Cricetulus griseus: one gene and its partners. The protein of the gene in region 1 interacts with the protein of each later gene in a pairwise test. Links are inferred from orthologs where the notes say so. Each region holds a gene or a part of one and is shown in the gene's direction. Other genes may lie near its edges. The genes, in order: Gadd45g, Arpc5l and Eef1a1.

The links.
Region 2: the proteins of Gadd45g (region 1) and Arpc5l interact in binary tests that used the Homo sapiens proteins (3 or more experiments, as listed by UniProt). The link is inferred for Cricetulus griseus from reciprocal best matches to the Homo sapiens genes GADD45G and ARPC5L.
Region 3: the proteins of Gadd45g (region 1) and Eef1a1 interact in a two-hybrid assay, tested with the Homo sapiens proteins (2 studies listed by BioGRID and IntAct). The link is inferred for Cricetulus griseus from reciprocal best matches to the Homo sapiens genes GADD45G and EEF1A1.

Annotation. Positions count from the first base shown.
Region 1 is NC_048596.1:270,785,451-270,792,104, forward strand, and holds Gadd45g (growth arrest and DNA damage-inducible protein GADD45 gamma), read left to right. Parts: upstream 1-3,308; 5' UTR 3,309-3,421; coding exon 3,422-3,474; intron 3,475-3,958; coding exon 3,959-4,060; intron 4,061-4,162; coding exon 4,163-4,376; intron 4,377-4,473; coding exon 4,474-4,584; 3' UTR 4,585-5,094; downstream 5,095-6,654. UniProt on the Homo sapiens protein: Involved in the regulation of growth and apoptosis. Mediates activation of stress-responsive MTK1/MEKK4 MAPKKK.
Region 2 is NC_048599.1:150,268,414-150,275,091, forward strand, and holds the start of Arpc5l (actin-related protein 2/3 complex subunit 5-like protein), read left to right. Parts: upstream 1-3,179; 5' UTR 3,180-3,299; coding exon 3,300-3,448; intron 3,449-6,678. UniProt on the Homo sapiens protein: May function as component of the Arp2/3 complex which is involved in regulation of actin polymerization and together with an activating nucleation-promoting factor (NPF) mediates the formation of branched actin networks.
Region 3 is NC_048597.1:189,543,889-189,550,566, reverse strand, and holds Eef1a1 (elongation factor 1-alpha 1), read left to right. Parts: upstream 1-2,187; 5' UTR 2,188-2,220; intron 2,221-3,164; 5' UTR 3,165-3,198; coding exon 3,199-3,342; intron 3,343-3,453; coding exon 3,454-3,633; intron 3,634-3,712; coding exon 3,713-4,009; intron 4,010-4,092; coding exon 4,093-4,243; intron 4,244-4,327; coding exon 4,328-4,584; intron 4,585-4,671; coding exon 4,672-4,906; intron 4,907-4,994; coding exon 4,995-5,119; 3' UTR 5,120-5,388; downstream 5,389-6,678. UniProt on the Homo sapiens protein: Translation elongation factor that catalyzes the GTP-dependent binding of aminoacyl-tRNA (aa-tRNA) to the A-site of ribosomes during the elongation phase of protein synthesis.

The DNA of each region.
Region 1 (6,654 bases):
TCTCAGTTGTCCCTGGTGAGTGTGGGGGTGAACCAGAGACGGGGGCCCAGACAGAGCACCCCATAACCTCCAATCCTGCCACTTACTAGCCTAGGGGACACACTGCAGCCCTCCCAACTAACCAAGAGTCCACATTTTTCTGTGAAAGATGTCAACTTTGAGAAAGTATAAATGAATGGTGGTTTTCCTAAGCTATCCAAAGAAACTCTACCTGCATTGGGCCTGGGGCTCCTTAGCTGCAGCCTCTGGTCTGGCTGTCCTGAGCACAGGTCTCCTGAGGCACGCCCCTGCTGTTTAAGGTCAGTCTCTGTGCACAGTCCAGATGCATAGTGTGAGAAATGCAAAGGGGAATGGATGCCTTCCAGAAATTATTACCGAGGGCCCTGCTCCCATCCTCCTCCAAATGAGGTGGGCTTCCACCAATACCCACCCCGGCAGACAAAGTCACGGAAGTCACTAAGAGAATATGCTAATAAAGCAAACATCTGCAGAGGGTATTTACTTATTTATTTTAGAAACTGGGATTGGGGATTGTCTCTCTGGCTTGCCAGGTTAACCTTTAACTCTGGGACTCAGGAATCCTCCTGCCTCAACCTTCCAATCAGCTGGGATTCCAGGTGCTCCTAAGCCTTTTATTTTACTTCAGTTTTGAGACAGGTGTACCAGGCTGGTGCTAACTATTTAGTTCAAGGACGACCTTGAACTCCAGCTCTGGGCTTCCATGCATGGTTTTTAAGACCTGGTCTTGTGCGACTCTCCACGCGCCGCGGAGCTATAGCCCCACCCCTCCAGAGAGTTTCAAAAGCGGAGCAAATGTGAGACTTCCCCTTTAATAGACTCATTGTCCCTTACATTATTAAAGTCTAGGGACTTTGTAAGAGTGTAGCCATTGTAGAGTACGAGCTCAGAAATACTGCCTGTGACTTCCGGCTGGGCCCCAAACCTTTCTTTCCTAATTTAGATGGGGACTTTGGGACCACTAGGACTTACCTAATTAAAGCTGTGTGGGGCCATATCTTATGGCAGAAAAGAGGGTTTCCTGTAATCGAATCCTTTTAAAATGTCAGTGGAGTAGACTAGCTTTGGGGCTTGTCAATCATCCCTTCTGGCCCAGACTGGCTGGGGGCGGGGTCTGGAAACGCTAGTACCTAAGCCTGCACTAACCTGTACCGGCCTTCCTATCGGGGAGGGACTGGGGGCAGTTTCCTGCATCCTGACAAGTGAGCAGTTTTCTAGCTATGAATGGCAGGAGCAGGTGTGCGCTAAGATATCAAATGGATTATTATTTCCGACGTTTCCTCAGGATCTGAAACTGAGAGTTAAGAAGTGTTAAAACTTTGAAAAGAGCAACAACTTTAAGTTTTCATCACTTAGAAGCATTCTATTCACGCAGGGCTCCCCATCATTTTATATGCCACTAAGACAGCCAGGAAGGGGCTTTGAGAGTTTGAGAGACCTTGCAGATAAAAAAAAAACAAGTGGAACCACAGCGCTGCACCTGCAGTTCTCAGTGCAGCCTCCGGGTGGCGCAAGACACCGGCCCCTCGCCTGGCCTTTGGCTTTGGTAAACCCGCAGCCTCCCAGTGCAGCAGGAAAACTTCCTTAAAGGACTTCACAGGTTAACACTGAATGTACACATTCACCACCCACCTGAAGAACGCTCCAGTAAAAAAAGAAAATTACCCCCTGTGTGCGTGCGTGCGCGCGCGCGCGTGTGTGCGTGCGTGCGTGTGATTTTTGCCTCAGTCTGGCAAACTTCGTGTCCACCCTTTGCCCTAACCAGTCTCTCAGGCTTCGCTCAGCAGAGGTCGAGAACTTCCAGGGGTCCTCTAGAACACTTTTCCGTGTAGCACGAGAGATACAGGCGCCCACAGGGTCGTGTTGTGCGGGGGAGCAGTCTGTAAGCGTGGTGTGTGTGCAGGTCTCACCGGACAAATGACAAGTTCAGGAAATTCCCAAGATCGCTTTCATATTTGTTACGTTATCAGAAAAGAACCTTTTTAAGTAGTTGAAGTATTTCAGTCTCACCAGACAGACGGATTCGTATTCCACCAGTCCTGGGTGGCAGGCTCCTTTTGCTCTCCAGCCCCGGGGCACTGAGTGCAAGCTCTACTCTGAATCCAATTAATGCGCAGATTGCACAGGGCCTCGGTGCCCCGGGCTGCCCGGGGCCAAGACCCCGAGAGGTCAGCGCGAGGCTGGCTGTATGGGGTGGGTGATGGGGAAGTCTGGTACTTTCTGGGTCGGCCTGTAGGCGGCGCCCTGGGAAAAGAGTTGTGGAACAGCGTGTGCCTAGCTTCTGGAGTCTGAACCCCGGAACCTCAGGGTTTCCGGAGTAGTAGCCCTGTGTGCCTCACTGCTTTCTCCGCGGTTGGGGACGCGTGCATCAGAATCCCAGCAACCAGGGCGAGTCTGAGAGGTGCGCACCCCGGGGCGGGGGAGCGGCACGCGGCTCAGACCCCCACGTGCCGGGCAACCCCGCGACCCCCGCGCGCGGCGGGGCTCTGCCCACCCCACCCGGCGGCAGGTGGACAGTGTTGCTATGAAAGAGAAAGCGTCGATTGTCCCCACTGCGAACTGCCACACGCCAGACCTCCTCTTTTGTGTGCCCCGTATAGAAATGCAAACGAGCCGCGTGTGCCGGCAGCAATCTGCTGGTCCCTGCTGCCCGCGCCCCACAGCGATCTGCCAGGGGCAGGGGCAGGGGCAGGGGTGGGGGACGGGACGGGACAGGGGCCGGGGTGTGGGTGTGGGGGAGGGCGGCGCAGACCTTGCAGCCGCGACCCTGAAAGGCGCTGAGTCCTGAGTTCTAGAGGCGACCTTGGCCTGGTGTCAGCTGCAGTTGCAAACCTTTGACTTTTTAAGTTTCGGTTTCAATGCAACAGCCCCATAAACCTCAATTTGGAAATTAAAAAAAAAATTAGAAAGGTCGCAATAAAAATAAATGCAAAAAAAGGCTTTTTACATTCTCCAAGCGTGCATTTCACAAATTCCAGTATCATATTAGCAAACAACGTTGTTGGTTTTTTTTTTTAACTTTTTCCTTTTAAGGACTTACAAAAAAGAAAACGAGATGAAATCTGCAGGCTCCAGTCTGCCTGGTAACACCCTGACAAAAGCGGCAGATTTGAGGCTGTGTCATCCCCCGCACCCCTCCCCACGTGGCCTTCTGGCACGAGCCGCGGGCCTGCCGCCTCATTTGCATCAGAAAGCGGGCGCTGGCCAATGGGAGCGCAGCCTCCCGCCAGCTGGCGGCGTCGCGCGGGGCCCGTCTATAAAAGGGCGCTCGCCGCGGTGCCTGGCGCACTCGCTGGTGGTGGGCGCGCGGGTCGGGTTCTGGGGCTCCTTACCTGCGCTCGGGATCCCTCGGTTCCCTCCACACTCCTCACTTTTGGATAACTTGCTGCCCGTGGATCGTACAATGACTCTGGAAGAAGTCCGTGGCCAGGATACAGTTCCGGAAAGCACAGCCAGGTAGGTTTTGGGGTGGCGAGGGTTGGACTTGTCGGGTAGAGATCTTTCAGGGTCTTCTAGGGTGGAAGTTTGTGGGGTGGGAGCCGTGCCCTGCCTGACAGCGAGGTGCCGAGGCGGTGGGGCCACAATTACTCCGTCCGATTCATTCCTAGAGCTAGAGACTGGGATTCTGGCACCGGGTCCGGATTGGGGAGCCTGGGCTATGGGCTCCAGATCAGGAGTAGGGAACCGGGGGTGCAGGCGCCGGGGCGAGACTAGGTGATGGGGAATGAGGGCGCCAGATCATGACTAGGGTGCCAGAGGTGTGGGCGCCAAGTCGGGACTGGGGATCCGGGTGTGTGGGCGCCAGGTTGGAGTTGGGAGGCAGGAATGCTGGCGCCAGGCAGGTCTAGGCTAAGGAGCCAGCTGGGACCTGGAGGTCAGGGCTGGGATCTCCGCCGCGTCCTCGTGCTGGTCCCCACTCACCGTGCTTGTTCTCTTACAGGATGCAGGGCGCCGGGAAAGCGCTGCACGAACTTCTGCTGTCGGCGCAGCGCCAGGGCTGTCTGACCGCTGGCGTCTACGAGTCCGCCAAAGTCCTGAATGTGTGAGTATGGACAGGCCCTGCGTGCAGGGATTGGGTTTGGCGCGGCTGGGAGACCTGGGGGTGGCATCGGCTCTGACCTTGTTCTTCCCATCTGCTCTGCAGGGACCCTGACAATGTGACCTTTTGCGTGCTGGCTGCCGATGAAGAAGATGAGGGCGACATAGCGCTGCAGATCCATTTCACGCTGATCCAGGCGTTCTGCTGTGAGAACGACATTGACATCGTGCGCGTGGGTGATGTTCAGCGGCTAGCGGCGATCGTGGGTGCGGACGACGAGGCGGGCGCGCCGGGGGACCTGCACTGCATACTCATTTCGGTGAGTGCTGCTGTTGCCTCCCCACGCCGGTTTCCCCCACCCGTTTTGGCCATCGGCCAGCCTGGCTCACCCCTGAATTTTTTTTTTTTTAATACAGAATCCTAATGAGGACACGTGGAAGGACCCTGCTTTGGAGAAACTCAGCGTGTTCTGCGAGGAAAGCCGCAGCTTCAACGACTGGGTGCCCAGCATTACACTTCCCGAGTGACAGCCCGGCAGGGACCTTGATCTGATCGACTTGGTGACGCTCTAGCGCGCTGCTGGCTCTGGAGTGGCCCTCCGAGGGCGCTCGAGTGCGCATGGAGACTGGCAGGCGGTGTTGCCTGGAGAGCGAGGAGCGCAGCCTCCCAAGAAGGGGGCCTGGCGGCGGCGGGGACACCTTGTTCCGAGCCCAGGACTCTGCCACTGTCCAGAGAGGCTGCTAGCACAGGAAGGCCTAGGCAGGGACGTTGGCCGCAGGGCCGGGAAGAACCGACTAGTGAGGCAGGCGTGACTCAGCAGCCTTCCAGTGAAACGAGAGGAAAAGCAAGGCAGGCGGCCTGGACTTGGTACAGCTACAGGAGTGGCCAGCTGCAGGAGCGAGCCGGACTTCGCAGGCTGCACCGCTCTTTCCCAAAAGGGATCCCGGGCAATGCTTTCATTTTCTAAAGGACGCTATCGTGGAAGCTTTGAATTTCACAATAAACTCATTGAAACAAACTTCCGCCTTTTATTGAGGGCAGGGGATTCCTATCTCGGGGGAGGTGGTAAAGGGTGTTTCTGGTGGTTGATGGAGCTTATGGCACCTGTAACCACCTTTCTGTTGGGCAAGAAATTACAGCCTGCTGGGGCTGGCAGTGGGGGAGGGGATGGTGGCGAGAAGTAAGGGGGAGGACTTGGGGCCCGAGTACTGTTTTATCCTTCCAGGAAGATTTTTAACTTGCAAGACGGGGGCATACTTGAGATAAGGCATCCCGGCGCAGGAGCGCAAGGCTTGCAATCCAATCCGATAACAGTGACTTCTGCTTCCAGTTTCTCCCCTCCCCCCCTTGCCTCCGACAGCTGCTTATCTGAACCGCTTGCGGGAGGCCCTGCGCCTTCCAATACAATGAGCTGCCTTCTGCAACTCTGCCCTCGGTGGTGCCTGTGGATAGGGGTGGACTGCTCTTGCTTTCAGGAACTTTCTCCTTTTAATTGCTCTGGCAAAGCAGCGCTACTAAAGTATTAATATCAAATATGACACCAACGACTGCGTTTTAAGTGTGAATCATCATTTTGTCACGGCCGTGATGGAAATCTTAGCAGTATCTTAGCAGAAGTTGGAGGCACAGTCCCACACAAATAGGCGTGAGCCAGGCTGAGTGGGGTGGGCATCTGCTAGTTCCTATTCCGAGTGCCTTTGCCCACATCAGTGAGGGCTGCTGCTACCCACAATTCCTTTTAAAGTCGGAGGAGAAACGCTTGGGAGCCAAGATTACCTTTTGAGAAGGATGTGGGGGACACGTCCCAGTGAGAGGACTTTTTCTGTTAGTTTAGTGCTCTGGCTTTCACTGCCTGTTTCAGGCTGTCTGGGTTTGTCAGGGGAAGCCCACGTGGGGCATTCTTGCTGTCAGCTCTGCTGCCCGGCAGCGTGAAAGCCTTCGGGGAAGGGAGGGGTGGGGTGCTGTTTTTCTTAGAAGGCCATTCGGCCGATTTACCAGCATTGCTTAGGGAGGCTGGTCTCCCGGTTGAGTGCCACTTTTAAAACTCCACTCCACATTCTGGAAGCCTGTACAAGGCAGCAGGAAAACTGGAGGAGCTGGATGACACTTCCGGTAAGGGAAGCATTCCGTTTCTACTGGAAACCAACTCTGGTGAAACAATTAAGCTACATTGTGCCCGAATATCATTACTGCTTCCTATGGTGTTTTCTCTAATTTTTCTTAGGTGGGAGAGTCTTGCAGACTAGACCTGCAAGCTGATAAAAATGACTTCTTGCCATAGTGGGCTGCAGTTAAAACAAATTACCCCAGAAGGTGGCCTGAAATGCATGAACTCAGCAGAACACTGCAGAATGGCAGACCCTTGTAGAACATTTGAATTGGCAATCGGTCAGGAAACTTGGCTTTCTCTGACTGGCCCTTACTTTGTGGCCACCTGTTAGAGTTTTAGGAGACAAGAATTTTCAGTAGGGAGTGGGGTGGGGGTGGGGAGAGAAGGAATGCAGGTTTGAATGGCTAGTGAATGGGAGGGGATGAGGGTGGCCAAAATTTGTGCTGAATTCTTTCCTTTTTTTTTTCTTCATAGATGCATGCTAATA
Region 2 (6,678 bases), on another chromosome or scaffold:
ACATCTCTTCATCCCCACAATCCCCGGACAGACCACCGGCATCTAGGTCACAGCAACATGGACTTGATCTGCTAGGTTTTTGTAATAAATGACCATAGGGACCAATTGGAGCCCTCCAGTCAGCAGCCACCCTCTCTAGCAGTTTCTCAATGTTGTTCAGTACATAATACTGACCTAGGTTTCAGAACAAACAAACAGGGACTCACTAGGTGGTGTAAGGAGGGTTTTTAGTCATCTATCCCTAAGAGTAGCAGCTTACCCTTGTACTCCAAAAGCGCCTTACAATGCTCTTATATAACAGAGTTAAATGATGTGTACCTGTTCCTGTTTCCAAAGCCAGTCTCAGAGGTGCTCTCCATGCCCAGGTTGTGACTACTGGATGGATAGATATATGAACCTTGTTCCAGACTACTGTGAAGTCAAAATATATGTAGAAATGAGTGAGTTAGTTTAAATGGAAGCCTAAAGGTACAAACAACTTCCTAGATGCTCAGGATTGGACTAGAGTTATGACTATGCATAATTTTGGAAACTTTTCAGTGTTTGTAAGCTCCTCCCCTGAGGGCCTCCAACTGCCAGGTTCCACCCACAGGATACAAAAACTGTCCTAACACCTGGATACAGCCCCCACCCTACAGAGTAAAAAGCCCAAACTCTGGACATGAAATCCCACCAATCCCCAACCTGGAAAGCCTCACCCTGAAAAGTTCACCCCCACCCCCCAAGAAACTCTATGTAAGCTCGGTATCCTGTTTAGTTTGCTGCTATATCTCTCCTGAGCAGATGCAGCCATCACCCTGGTTTCTTCCTGCCCACAAGTCTTGTGTGAGGTTTATTGTGTGGCATGACTTTGTGATATTCCTTGGCTCCCGGCTGCCTGATACCTTTCCATCCGAGTTGAGCTGTAACACATAACTAGGATTAAACCCAGGTGGCGCACGCCTTTAATCCCAGCACTCGGGAGGCAGAGGCAGAGGCAGAGGCAGAGGCAGAGGCAGAGGCAGATGGAGCTCTGTGAGTTCGAGGCTAGCCTGGTCTCCAGAGAGAGTGCCAGGATAGGCTCCAAAGCTACACAGAGAAACCCTGTCTCAAAAAACAAAAAAAATAAACAAACAAACAAACAAAAAAAACAAAAAAACAAAACCAGGATCTCCAGTGTACTGGGTAAGTATGCCACAATAGGCTGCATCCCTAGAAATGCATCGTTGAAGTTATCAGTCATCGCTTGTTTCTATTACATGCCCCATCTAATTTACCAGCAAATCCTGTAGGCTTTATCTTGAAAACACCTAATAGGTTCCCATCACCCCCTTTTTTTTGGCACCTTCAAGGCTTGAGCTACTATTGCCTATAGCCTACTCGTAAATTAACATTTAAAAAAACCCCAAAAAACCCAAGGTCTTGCTATATCTAGCCTTGGCTGTCCTGGAACTCATTATGTAGATCAGGCTGGCCTTAAACTCAGAGATCCACCATACCTAACACACCTTGAAACTTTTTTAGTTCTTGTTCCCAGATCTTTCTCTCTCTCGCTTTTCTTTTCTTTCTTTCTTTCTTTTTTTTTTTTTTTTTTTTTTTTTGAGACAGGCTTTCCCTGTAGCTTTGGAGCCTGTCCTGGAACTTGCTCTGTAGACCAGGCTGGCCTCTGCCTTTCAGGTGCTAGAGTTAAAGGCATGTACCACTAACTCCTGGTTAATGCAGACTCTTGGTCCTCAGGATTGCAGGGGTGCACTACCATGTCAGATTTCATATCATGAATTTAAAAGCCTATCTGATGAAAGGCCACGGACATGAGCTAGAACATTATTTCATTCACATAATTATTTGCGGTCACTTCCCTGTTAAACCAGTATTTCTGATATTAAGTTCCTTCTGACCAAGATTTTCTAGGAGAGAGACTGGAGTGATGGACTGATACATAAGAGCACTGGTTGCTTTTCCAGAGGAACCAGGTTCCATTCCCAACACCCCTATGACATGGTGGCGCTAAACCATCTGTGTAATTACAGTTCTAAAGGATCTCATGCCCTCTTCTGTCCTCCATCAGGCACAACACCCATGTGGTGCACAGAAATACCGGCAGGCAAAATACACATTTAAGTAAAATATTAAAAACATATTTAAAGATGTTGTCTCAAGAACATTTTTATAAGCCGGGAGGTTGTAAAGCTAGGACATTTCTTTAGTCCCAGCACTTGGAAGACAGAGGCAGGAGGATCTCTGTGAGTTCAAGACCAGCTTGGTCTACAAGAGCTAGTTCCAGGACAGGCTCCAAAGCTACACAGAGAAATCCTGTCTTGAAAAACCAAGAAAAAAAAAAAAAAGGACATCTTTTATAATATCAGATGTTAATTCCTGCTATTTTATGGCCAGCCTGCATCCCAGATTTCTTCTTATGTATGGGGCAGATATACAGGTAGGTTTTGACTACTTCCAGGATCTGAGACTTTATTCAGCATCTACTTGCACCATGTCTGCCTGGCAGTTTTTGATCTACAGATACAGTTCAATGGGAAGTAGGCAAAGCAAAACATGATGTTTCAAATACTGTTTTTGCACAAGAGTGCTATCAGATGAAAATGTAGTAAGTTTTCGTACAATTATGGGAAAAGCCCATTTTAGCCTACAGCTGAAATCAGGAGAAACCAGCATCCTAGGCCTCCTGGACTAACTGCACTCTTCCCACCGGTTTCTGAATTCTGCTGCTTTCGCCTCCTAAAATGCACCTCTTCAAGTCAGCATCGGCCTTCAGCAATAAAGGTGACCACGGCATCTTTTTTTTCGGAGCGCCCGGAGATGTTGCTACATCTTCAAGTAAAGATGTCCTCAAGCGTCATGTCAGTTCTTGGGTTATACGTTAACGCAGTTATAAAGCCCTTCACTCCTTTAACAAAGTCACTTCTCTGTAACCAGACAGGAATCCTTTTGTGGGTCAGTGCGGTTCGCGTCCAAGGTAGAGAGGCTCAGGCGACGCGCTTCACTATCACTCCTTCCTCAGCTCAAGGGTTTCTTCCTCAGGAGCTGACGGAGGTGCTGCCTGTGCCCGCAGGCCGGTAGCCTGGAGGAAGACACAGCAACCGCGGCACCGCTAGGGGAAGCCACAACAGGAACAAACGAATCCGCGCCTCTGTCCCGCCCACACAAGCTTCCGGTTCCGACGTGGCCCGGAAGTGGGCGGGCGGCGGCGGCTGCGCGTGGAGAAGGGCAGGAGGTGCTTCGCTGCGGCTTCCCGCCCCCGAGCGGAGCCGGTGCGGAGGGCAGTGGGATCTAGCCGGCTGGGCAGCCGCCGAGCTCCCGCCATGGCCCGGAACACACTGTCCTCACGTTTCCGTCGGGTGGACATCGACGAGTTTGACGAGAACAAATTCGTTGACGAGCAGGAAGAGGCGGCGGCGGCGGCTGGCGAGCCAGGCCCCGACCCCGCCGAGGTGGACGGGCTCCTGCGGCAATATCCTTCCCGGCGAGGCCGCTCGGACTCGGCCTTCGCACGCACCCTTCTCGCCCCAGCCCTAGCCCCCGCCCGGCTTCTACCAGTCCCGAGCTCCCCGGGTCCTTCGTCCCCGGCCTCTACCCTTCCTCAGCAGCGCGGCCCTGGAGCTCGTTTTACTCCTCCGCATCCCTCTGGGTACCCGTGCATGGGCCTTGATCCCTCCAAACCTCCTTGCAGGAGACTGGGCCATGCCCGGCCGCTGATCCGCGGGAGGGCCGGAGGTGAGCCACCTTGGATTCATTGAGCAGCCAGGGCCTCCGGCGGCCTGTCTATGGCTTTCTTGGGCCCGATTGCAGCCCAGCGTGAAAATAGGTGGGTGGATTGTTGGGGGGAAGATGGACCAGAGGGTGGGGGTTGGGGAGGGGAGGGTGTGACATTGCCGTGCCACCTCTTCTCACCTGTCATCACATTCCTCTGAGCACGTTGGGTTTTGAGCTTTTATGGGCCGAGCCACATTCAACAAGTGATTTGCGACTCTCCCATTAACTGCCTTGTGCAGGAAGCATAGAAAAAGCTAGTGTCAAGTGTAAAAGAGACTCCCCAGCGACTGGAAATGACTGCTCTTGTGGCCACAGAAAACTGACGTTTAGAACAGAAGAATAAAAATAGAGGTGACTGTCAACTGGCTTGAGCACCACGGGGAACTGACAATCTCACAGGAAGTTTTTATTCTTTATGCAAATGGTGTGTACCCTTCCCCCGCACTTGCTAGGGCCGTGTTGGAGGCTCTTGCTGTATATAAATCATGTTCTGGGTGTTTAATCAGTTGACTTAGCCTGGGAAGTCAGGCCTACTGCTTTTGGGAGGAGCCCCGTAGTTCTCTAATATACCTTTAAAACAACTCGTCCAGACAGGAGTGTTTTCAAACGTGGAGATTTCAAACTTGTATTTCCTGCATCATTCAAGTGGTTAAATGGGGTGATGAGAACGGTTTTTATTGTGGTGCAGGGAATTGACTGGTTTATGGGCACTCAATTGTTGACAAGGCTCCAGAGTGATTCATTTGACCCAGAATCCTAATTATATTGATGAAGAGACTGGGGCTTGGTCAGCTGTTGCCTTGGTACTTTTTTTTTTTTTTTTTTTTTTTTACCGGAGACAGGGTTTCTCTGTGTCCTGGAACTCACTCTGTAGAGCAGGCTGGCCTCGAACTCACAGAGATTCACCTGCCTCTGCCTCCTGAGTGCTGTGACTAAAAGTGTGCGCCACCAATGCCTGGCGCTAGCTGTTTTCATTATTTTTTTAATGAGGCAGTTTCAGGCTTTAGATTTAGAGCTTCTAGAGAGAGGAGATGGCAGTATCAGAAGCCTTGTTACGGTGGAAAATGTACCTCTTGGGATTGGGAGAAGGGAGGTTAGCAGATGAGAAGTGAAACCCTAGCAGATGTCAGCAGGTAGGGGGAAGGATGGAAGTAGTAATTGAGTGCCTTCCAGGTGCCAAGTGTTGGACTTCGATCATTGCATTCAATCCAAAGAACCTCATGGGAGGGAGTCTTGGAGAAGAGCAGAGGTTTGGGGGGGGGGGCTAAGAGGAAGTGGTCTCCGCTGTTGTGGGAATTGCCATTGTAGAAGAGCAGATAGAGTATTTTTCCCTGGTGCAAGAAGGGACTTTGAGAGCCCTTCCCACGTGAAGGGATACGCTCTGGCCGTGGACACATGGGGAAGGGCCCAGGACCAGCACAGGAAGATTTGGTGGACTTTGCAGAGCCCCGGTTGAGAGGTCACATACTTCTCAACCTCAGTATTCTTTTTCTAAATGATAGACATAACTATGCTGGCCTCACAACTTCAATGTAGCTTCACGGAACACACATCTGGTGTTCTCCACAGGTTGTGGTGATGGAGTGTACAGAGGGCTTGGATTTGTGACCTTGAGCAGGTAATTTCCCTTCTGGCTCAGTTTCATTGTCTCAAAGGAAGAAGTCAGGTTCTTGTCCCAGAGGATTTTTAAAGGAAGGTGAAATGTGAAATGTGACTGCATCTAGTCCTGGGTCTAAGACCCTGGGGAGATTTTTCCTCCACTCTGGCAGTTTTAAATTATCACTGTAGCTCATTTTCTTTCTCAGTGAAGCAGCTTTTGGTCCTTGAAGAGGACTATAGAGCACCATTTTGAGTGATTTCATATAGTTCTTTTCACCCCCAAGGAAATTTGACAATCTGGTGACACTTGTTTATCACAGTTTTAGGATGTTACTGGGAACTTTAACGGTAGAGGCCAGGGAGGCTGTTAAGCATCCTGCAACACACATCAAAGTTTTAGGGTCATGGCTGAGAACAGTCTAGAGGGTTCTGTAGTTACCACAGTGTGTTCTCTGAAAGTGCTGGAAGCTGTCTAGGTATGGAGGTAGTTTAGTAAACTTTGTGTGATCGTAGAGTTGCCCCCCCCCCCCCCCCCCCAGTTCTACCCAGCAGTAGCTTTTGTGAAGATTGCTTCACAAAAAGCTGCAGGTACTGTCTGGCAGTGGTGGCACAGACCTTTAACCCCAGCATTTGGGAAGCAGAAACAGGTGGGTATCTGAGTTCGAGGCCAGCCTGGTCAGGACAAGCGCTAAAGATATAAAGAGAAACCCTTTCTCAAAAAAACAAAAAGCAGTACTAAACTTAACATTCTTGTCCTTCCCCCATATCCATTTTGTCAGTGAAATGATGTTAGTCCACATGTACTGTTAAGCCTCTGGGACCCTGCTTATTGCCTAGTGTATACCAAGTTAAAAAGTTATGGGGTAGAAGGCTATCATTGGCTGTATCAGGACTAGCCTTTCTTTGTCTGAGGAAAAGGAATTCTAAAACGAATAGATAAGGTAGGGTCTGATTGAGCACAGTGGGGGAGTGGCTTGTCTTGTGGCACAGACCAGCTTTTCATGATGGCACTTACTGGGGAAGCTGGGAAATCAGGTTTGTACCAGAGGCTAGCTGTTTATACATAGGGATTGCAGCACAAACAGGAATTTTAAATGTCCTGATTGGACAGTCATTCCTTGTTCTGTTTTTTAAGTGTTTTGGCTTAAGCCAGTGTTTCACATGAGGGAATGAAAGTTGGCTGATGTAATTCAGTTTAAAATAGGTGTCACCTTTGGGGACATAACCTACTTTGTAATTTTCTTTGTGTGCCGGGTATTCAGATCTCAGCAGTGAATGTGGAGTTGGGATTGTATGTAAGGTTTGTGGGGCAAGGGAACAGATGGCTCA
Region 3 (6,678 bases), on another chromosome or scaffold:
GTGGGGCACGTCTGTAATCCCAGCATTGGGAAGTAGAGGTAGAAGATTAGAAATCAAAGGCCAGCCTCAGCAACACAGTGAGTTTGAGGCCACCCTGAACTACATCAGGTTCTGTCTCCTTTCTTTTTTTTTTTTTTTTCTTTTCTTTTTTTGGTTTCTCTGTGTAGTTTTGGAGCCTATCCTGGCACTAGCTCTGAAGAGCAGGCTGGCCTCGAACTCAGAGATCAGCCAGCCTCTGCTGGGATTAAAGGTATGCACCACCAACGCCCCAGGTTTTGTCTCAAACAAACAAAAATAACATCAGGAGGTGGTGAGAGGGCTCAGTGGTCACAGGCATTCTCTGCAAAGCCTGACTCTGAGTTGGATCCTTTAGAGCTACATGGTTGAGGGAAGAGAACTGACTCCTGGAAGGTGTCCTCTGGTCCCCACACATAGCTATACACAGCATGTGCATTCACACACACTAAATAATGCTATTTTTAAAAAAATTAAAAACAACAACAGTTTGGGTTGTGAAAACTAGAACTAGATAATAGGTAAGAATCAAGTATCATGTAAATTTGCTTTCAACTCATCCCAAAATTTGTTTTATATTTCAGTTTTTTTCCTTCCTAGCTTGACTGTGGAGTCTTGTCCGGAAGCAAATAGTTCCTTTGCAGATCCCACATGTGGACACCGGACAGTAGGTCCTCAAATGCTCCTTATTAGGTTGGTTCAATAATATCAATTGTTTGTTACTAGGCAGTGATGTTGTACATCTGGAGGAGATCTCTTGAGCCCATAATCAGGTTATTAGGAATAAATACTCTAAGGCTAAAAATGTAGCTTAGTGATAAGAGTGCTTGCCTGGTGTGCTGAGACCCTCGGTTCCATCTCCACAACCCCATATTCCATTACAAAATACCTTTTCACCGTCCCTAGCATTAAGAAACAAAACAACAAAGAAGTTTTTCTTTCTTCTGAGATCCTGCCCGGAGAGGCATTTAAAACTGGCCAGGGCCAAAAAAAAAAAAAAAAAAAAAGAAAAAAAAGAAAAGAAAACAGGCTAGGGCCGGCATGGTGGCGCACGCCTTTAATCCCAGCACGCAGGAGGCAGAGGCAGGGCGGATCTCTGTGAGTTTGAGGTCAGCCTGGTCTACCTAGTGAGTTTCAGGGCACCCAGGGCTAAAGAGACTGTCTCAAAAACAAAACAGCCACACAATCAGAACCACAGCAAAACGCAGTTATGATCCTTGGAACTGTAGGAATGACAAGCATTTAAATAATAGGACGAGCCATTTTTGAGAAGCTCTGATTTCACAAGTGTCAGGGATGGGCTCTGGGCGAGTAAGATTGCTAATGCTGGCCTCTAAATGAGACCACGTGGAGTTGATTAGATTCTTTTCATGTTCCTCGTGCTCTATCAAATAACTGTACCCAAATACACACACACACACACACACACACAATGCGCGCACACACAAAATCCTTTTTTAGCTTAAGAAGCCCAGAATCAGAAGTAAAGCTAACTGTGGGACTTAAGTATTATTCTGAACGGAACTCCCAGGGCGTGAAGCGCGCTTCAGGCTTCCAGAGAAGCAGCTGGCGCTGGATGGAATGAACCAAGAGGCCAGCACAGGGGCAGATCCGTCGAGCTCTCGGCCACCGAGCTGAGCCCTTAGGTTCTGGGGCTGGGAAGGGTCCCTAGGATTGTGCACCTCTCCCGCGGGGGACAAGCAGGGGGATGGCGGGGCTGACGTCGGGAGGTGGCCTCCACGGGAAGGGACACCCGGATCTCGACACAGCCTTGGCAGTGGAGTCAGGAAGGGTAGGGACAGATTCTGGACGCCCTCTTGGCCAGCTCCTCACCGCCCCACCCCCGACTGGAGCCGAGAGTAATTCATACAAAAGGAGGGATCGCCTTCGCCCCTGGGAATCCCAGGGACCGTCGCTAAATTCTGGCCGGCCTCCCAGCCCGGAACCGCTGTGCCCGCCCAGCGCGGCGGGAGGAGCCTGCGCCTAGGGCGGATCGCGGGTCGGCGGGAGAGCACAAGCCCACAGTCCCCGGCGGTGGGGGAGGGGCGCGCTGAGCGGGGGCCCGGGAGCCAGCGCGGGGCAAACTGGGAAAGTGGTGTCGTGTGCTGGCTCCGCCCTCTTCCCGAGGGTGGGGGAGAACGGTATAAAAGTGCGGTAGTCGCGTTGGACGTTCTTTTTCGCAACGGGTTTGCCGTCAGAACGCAGGTGAGTGGCGGGTGTGGCCTCCGCGGGCCCGGGCTCCCTCCTTTGAGCGGGGTCGGGCCGCCGTGCGGGTGTCGTCGGCCGGGCTTCTCTGCGAGCGTTCCCGCCCTGGATGGCGGGCTGTGCGGGAGGGCGAGGGGGGGAGGCCTGGCGGCGGCCCCGGAGCCTCGCCTCGTGTCGGGCGTGAGGCCTAGCGTGGCTTCCGCCCCGCCGCGTGCCACCGCGGCCGCGCTTTGCTGTCTGCCCGGCTGCCCTCGATTGCCTGCCCGCGGCCCGGGCCAACAAAGGGAGGGCGTGGAGCTGGCTGGTAGGGAGCCCCGTAGTCCGCATGTCGGGCAGGGAGAGCGGCAGCAGTCGGGGGGGGGACCGGGCCCGCCCGTCCCGCAGCACATGTCCGACGCCGCCTGGACGGGTAGCGGCCTGTGTCCTGATAAGGCGGCCGGGCGGTGGGTTTTAGATGCCGGGTTCAGGTGGCCCCGGGTCCCGGCCCGGTCTGGCCAGTACCCCGTAGTGGCTTAGCTCCGAGGAGGGCGAGGCCCGCCCGCCCGGCACCAGTTGCGTGCGCGGAAAGATGGCCGCTCCCGGGCCCTGTAGCAAGGAGCTCAAAATGGAGGACGCGGCAGCCCGGCGGAGCGGGGCGGGTGAGTCACCCACACAAAGGAAGAGGGCCTTGCCCCTCGCCGGCCGCTGCTTCCTGTGACCCCGTGGTGTACCGGCCGCACTTCAGTCACCCCGGGCGCTCTTTCGGAGCACCGCTGGCCTCCGCTGGGGGAGGGGATCTGTCTAATGGCGTTGGAGTTTGCTCACATTTGGTGGGTGGAGACTGTAGCCAGGCCAGCCTGGCCATGGAAGTAATTCTTGGAATTTGCCCATTTTGAGTTTGGAGCGAAGCTGATTGACAAAGCTGCTTAGCCGTTCAAAGGTATTCTTCGAACTTTTTTTTTAAGGTGTTGTGAAAACCACCGCTAATTCAAATCCAACATGGGAAAGGAAAAGACTCATATCAACATCGTTGTCATTGGACACGTAGATTCAGGCAAGTCCACCACAACCGGCCACCTGATCTACAAATGTGGTGGAATCGACAAACGAACCATCGAAAAGTTTGAGAAGGAGGCTGCCGAGGCAAGTATTCGAAGGGAAAAGGTCGGGGGGGGTGGAAATCTACCGTAAGCAGGAAATTGTTTATTTAGAAACTAGATGTTTTGAGTGTACTAACTGCGAATCACTGAACAGATGGGAAAAGGCTCCTTCAAGTATGCCTGGGTCTTGGACAAACTGAAAGCTGAGCGTGAGCGTGGTATCACTATTGACATCTCCCTGTGGAAATTTGAGACCAGCAAATACTATGTGACCATCATTGATGCCCCAGGACACAGAGACTTTATTAAAAACATGATTACTGGCACTTCTCAGGTTTGTGAAATTTACTACCTTCTGACCCTTACCTCCAGCTGGAAAGCTTTGTTATTAACGGGAGGTAACTTTTTCTTAGGCTGACTGTGCTGTCCTGATTGTTGCTGCTGGTGTTGGTGAATTTGAGGCTGGTATCTCCAAGAATGGGCAGACCCGTGAGCATGCCCTTCTGGCTTACACCCTGGGTGTGAAACAGCTAATTGTTGGTGTTAACAAAATGGATTCCACCGAGCCACCTTACAGCCAGAAGAGATACGAGGAAATTGTGAAGGAAGTCAGCACCTACATTAAGAAAATTGGCTACAACCCTGACACAGTAGCATTTGTGCCAATTTCTGGTTGGAATGGTGACAACATGCTGGAGCCTAGTGCTAATGTAAGTGACTTGAAGAAGGTGGTTAAATGGAAAAGCTGTAAGGGGGGAGAGATTATAAAACATTTGGCTACTCTGCATTTCAGATGCCTTGGTTCAAGGGATGGAAAGTCACCCGTAAAGATGGCAGTGCCAGTGGTACCACACTGCTGGAAGCTTTGGATTGTATCCTGCCACCAACTCGTCCCACTGACAAGCCACTGCGACTGCCCCTCCAGGATGTCTATAAAATTGGTGGTAAGTAGAGCATTCGGACACTGGACTAAGATGTTTTGAGGTGTGTTCAGTTGTCTTCACCTTATATACTGTAAATGTTTTTAGGTATTGGGACTGTTCCTGTGGGCCGAGTAGAGACTGGTGTTTTAAAACCTGGAATGGTGGTTACCTTTGCTCCAGTCAACGTTACAACAGAAGTAAAGTCTGTTGAAATGCACCATGAAGCTTTGAGTGAAGCTCTTCCTGGAGACAATGTGGGCTTCAATGTAAAGAACGTGTCTGTCAAAGATGTCAGACGTGGCAACGTTGCTGGTGACAGCAAAAATGACCCACCAATGGAAGCAGCCGGCTTCACTGCTCAGGTAAACAAGATAGGTGTCAAGAGTGTAATATTGATAGCAGCATGCAAAACCTGAAGGCAAGATTTAACCAAATGCTGTTTCTTTCAGGTGATTATCCTGAACCATCCAGGCCAAATTAGTGCTGGCTATGCTCCTGTACTGGATTGTCACACAGCTCACATAGCATGCAAGTTTGCTGAGCTTAAGGAGAAGATTGATCGCCGTTCTGGTAAGAAGCTGGAAGATGGCCCTAAATTCTTGAAATCTGGTGATGCAGCCATCGTTGATATGGTTCCTGGCAAGCCCATGTGTGTTGAGAGCTTCTCTGACTATCCTCCACTGGGTAAGTAGAACTTAAGTTTCTGTTGCACTGAGTATTGTTTGGATATGAAATGCTGTATGAACAAGTGCTCATAACTGTTTCTGTGTAGGTCGTTTTGCTGTTCGTGACATGAGGCAGACAGTTGCTGTGGGTGTCATCAAAGCTGTGGACAAGAAGGCTGCTGGAGCGGGCAAAGTCACCAAGTCGGCCCAGAAAGCTCAGAAGGCTAAATGAATATTACCCCTAACACCTGCCACCCCAGTCTTAATCAGTGGTGGAAGAACGGTCTCAGAACTGTTTGTCTCAATTGGCCATTTAAGTTTAATAGTGAAAGACTGGTTAATGATAACAATGCATCGGAAAACCTTCAGGAGGAAAGGAGAATGTTTTGTGGAACATTTTTGTGTGTGTGGCAGTTTTAAGTTATTAGTTTTCAAAATCAGTACTTTTTAATGGAAACAACTTGACCAAAAATCTGTCACAGAATTTTGAGACCCATTAAAATACAAGTTTAATGAGAAGTCTGTCTCTGTTAATGCTGAAGTCATTACTAAGTGCTTAGCTTAGCAAGGTATGTGGATGCCCATTTGTGTTCCAAGGGATTGGACTGTTCATCAGGACCCAGAGCTGAGTTTCAAGGGCTCAAGAGATGGCTTATTACCTGTGGGTGTCTTGAAGGTTCTGGTTGGGACAAATTAGGAATGTTTTTGGCAGACATGGTGACTACCCTTCATCTGGGTGAGTTCAGTTGATTTGTCTTGAGCCTTTGGGGTTTACACAAGTAAATGACATCATACAGTTAGTGTATTGTTAGTGAATATTAATATATGAGGCAGGCTTTGCTCTAGCAATTTTAGAACTAGTTTTCAGGAAAGGGTTCATCTTGTGCATTGGATGTTTGATTCTATCACTTAGAGTTTAAACTGAAAGTGCTCAAGAGGTTTTATTTAGGCTGGGATATAAATAAGCCTTTCTGTAGCTTGTAATGGTATCAGGAATTTAAAAGGCCATCTGGGGCACAAAGATTAAGCAGAAAAGGTAGAAGGTGAGATTGGGGGACTTTGAGTACTTCACACACTTTAATGTGTGAGTGCTTTAGTGCATATAGTACAACTGCCAGATAAGGGCATCCACATCTGATTGTTTGGAAGGCACCTTGTGGTTTCTGGGAATTCAGAATTGGGAGAAAAAGTGCTCCCAACCGCTGAAGCCCTTGGTAATCTGCAGGGTGTTTATTTAGCAGGAGATAAGGACAAAAAGTTATAGTGTGGAGTTGGTTGAGTTGGTAGATGTCATTACAACAGGTGGTCTTAAATTGGGTTAGGAGTCACTTTGAAATACCTGGGCCATAAGCAAAGTGGCATTTTCACCTTTCAGGAGAAACTGGTACACTTATCCATTCTATAGTGCATGCTTGTTCAATTGGGCTGATGACTAAACCGGTGACTAAAGGTTTGTCAGTATAAATGGATGGGTTGTAGGCAGACGGTGAGGAATTACTATACCTGCAAGGAGTCATTGCCTGATCTGCCTGGAAAGGGGCAGGATTGAGTCTCAGAAGGTGTACACCATAGGATATGGAAAAATTTGTCACGCCTAGCATTCAACTTAGTGGTGTAGCGCCACCTACTGGCACTTTAAAAGCTTAGCATAGAGGAGCATGTGTGTTAGGAGCTCGGATGGGATCCAGGGCCTCAAGGTTTGCATGTAAATAAAAGCCCTTTACCAAATTAACTACATACCAGCATACATCAGTCCTTTAGTGTTGAAAAACAGAAGTGAAAGCTAATATA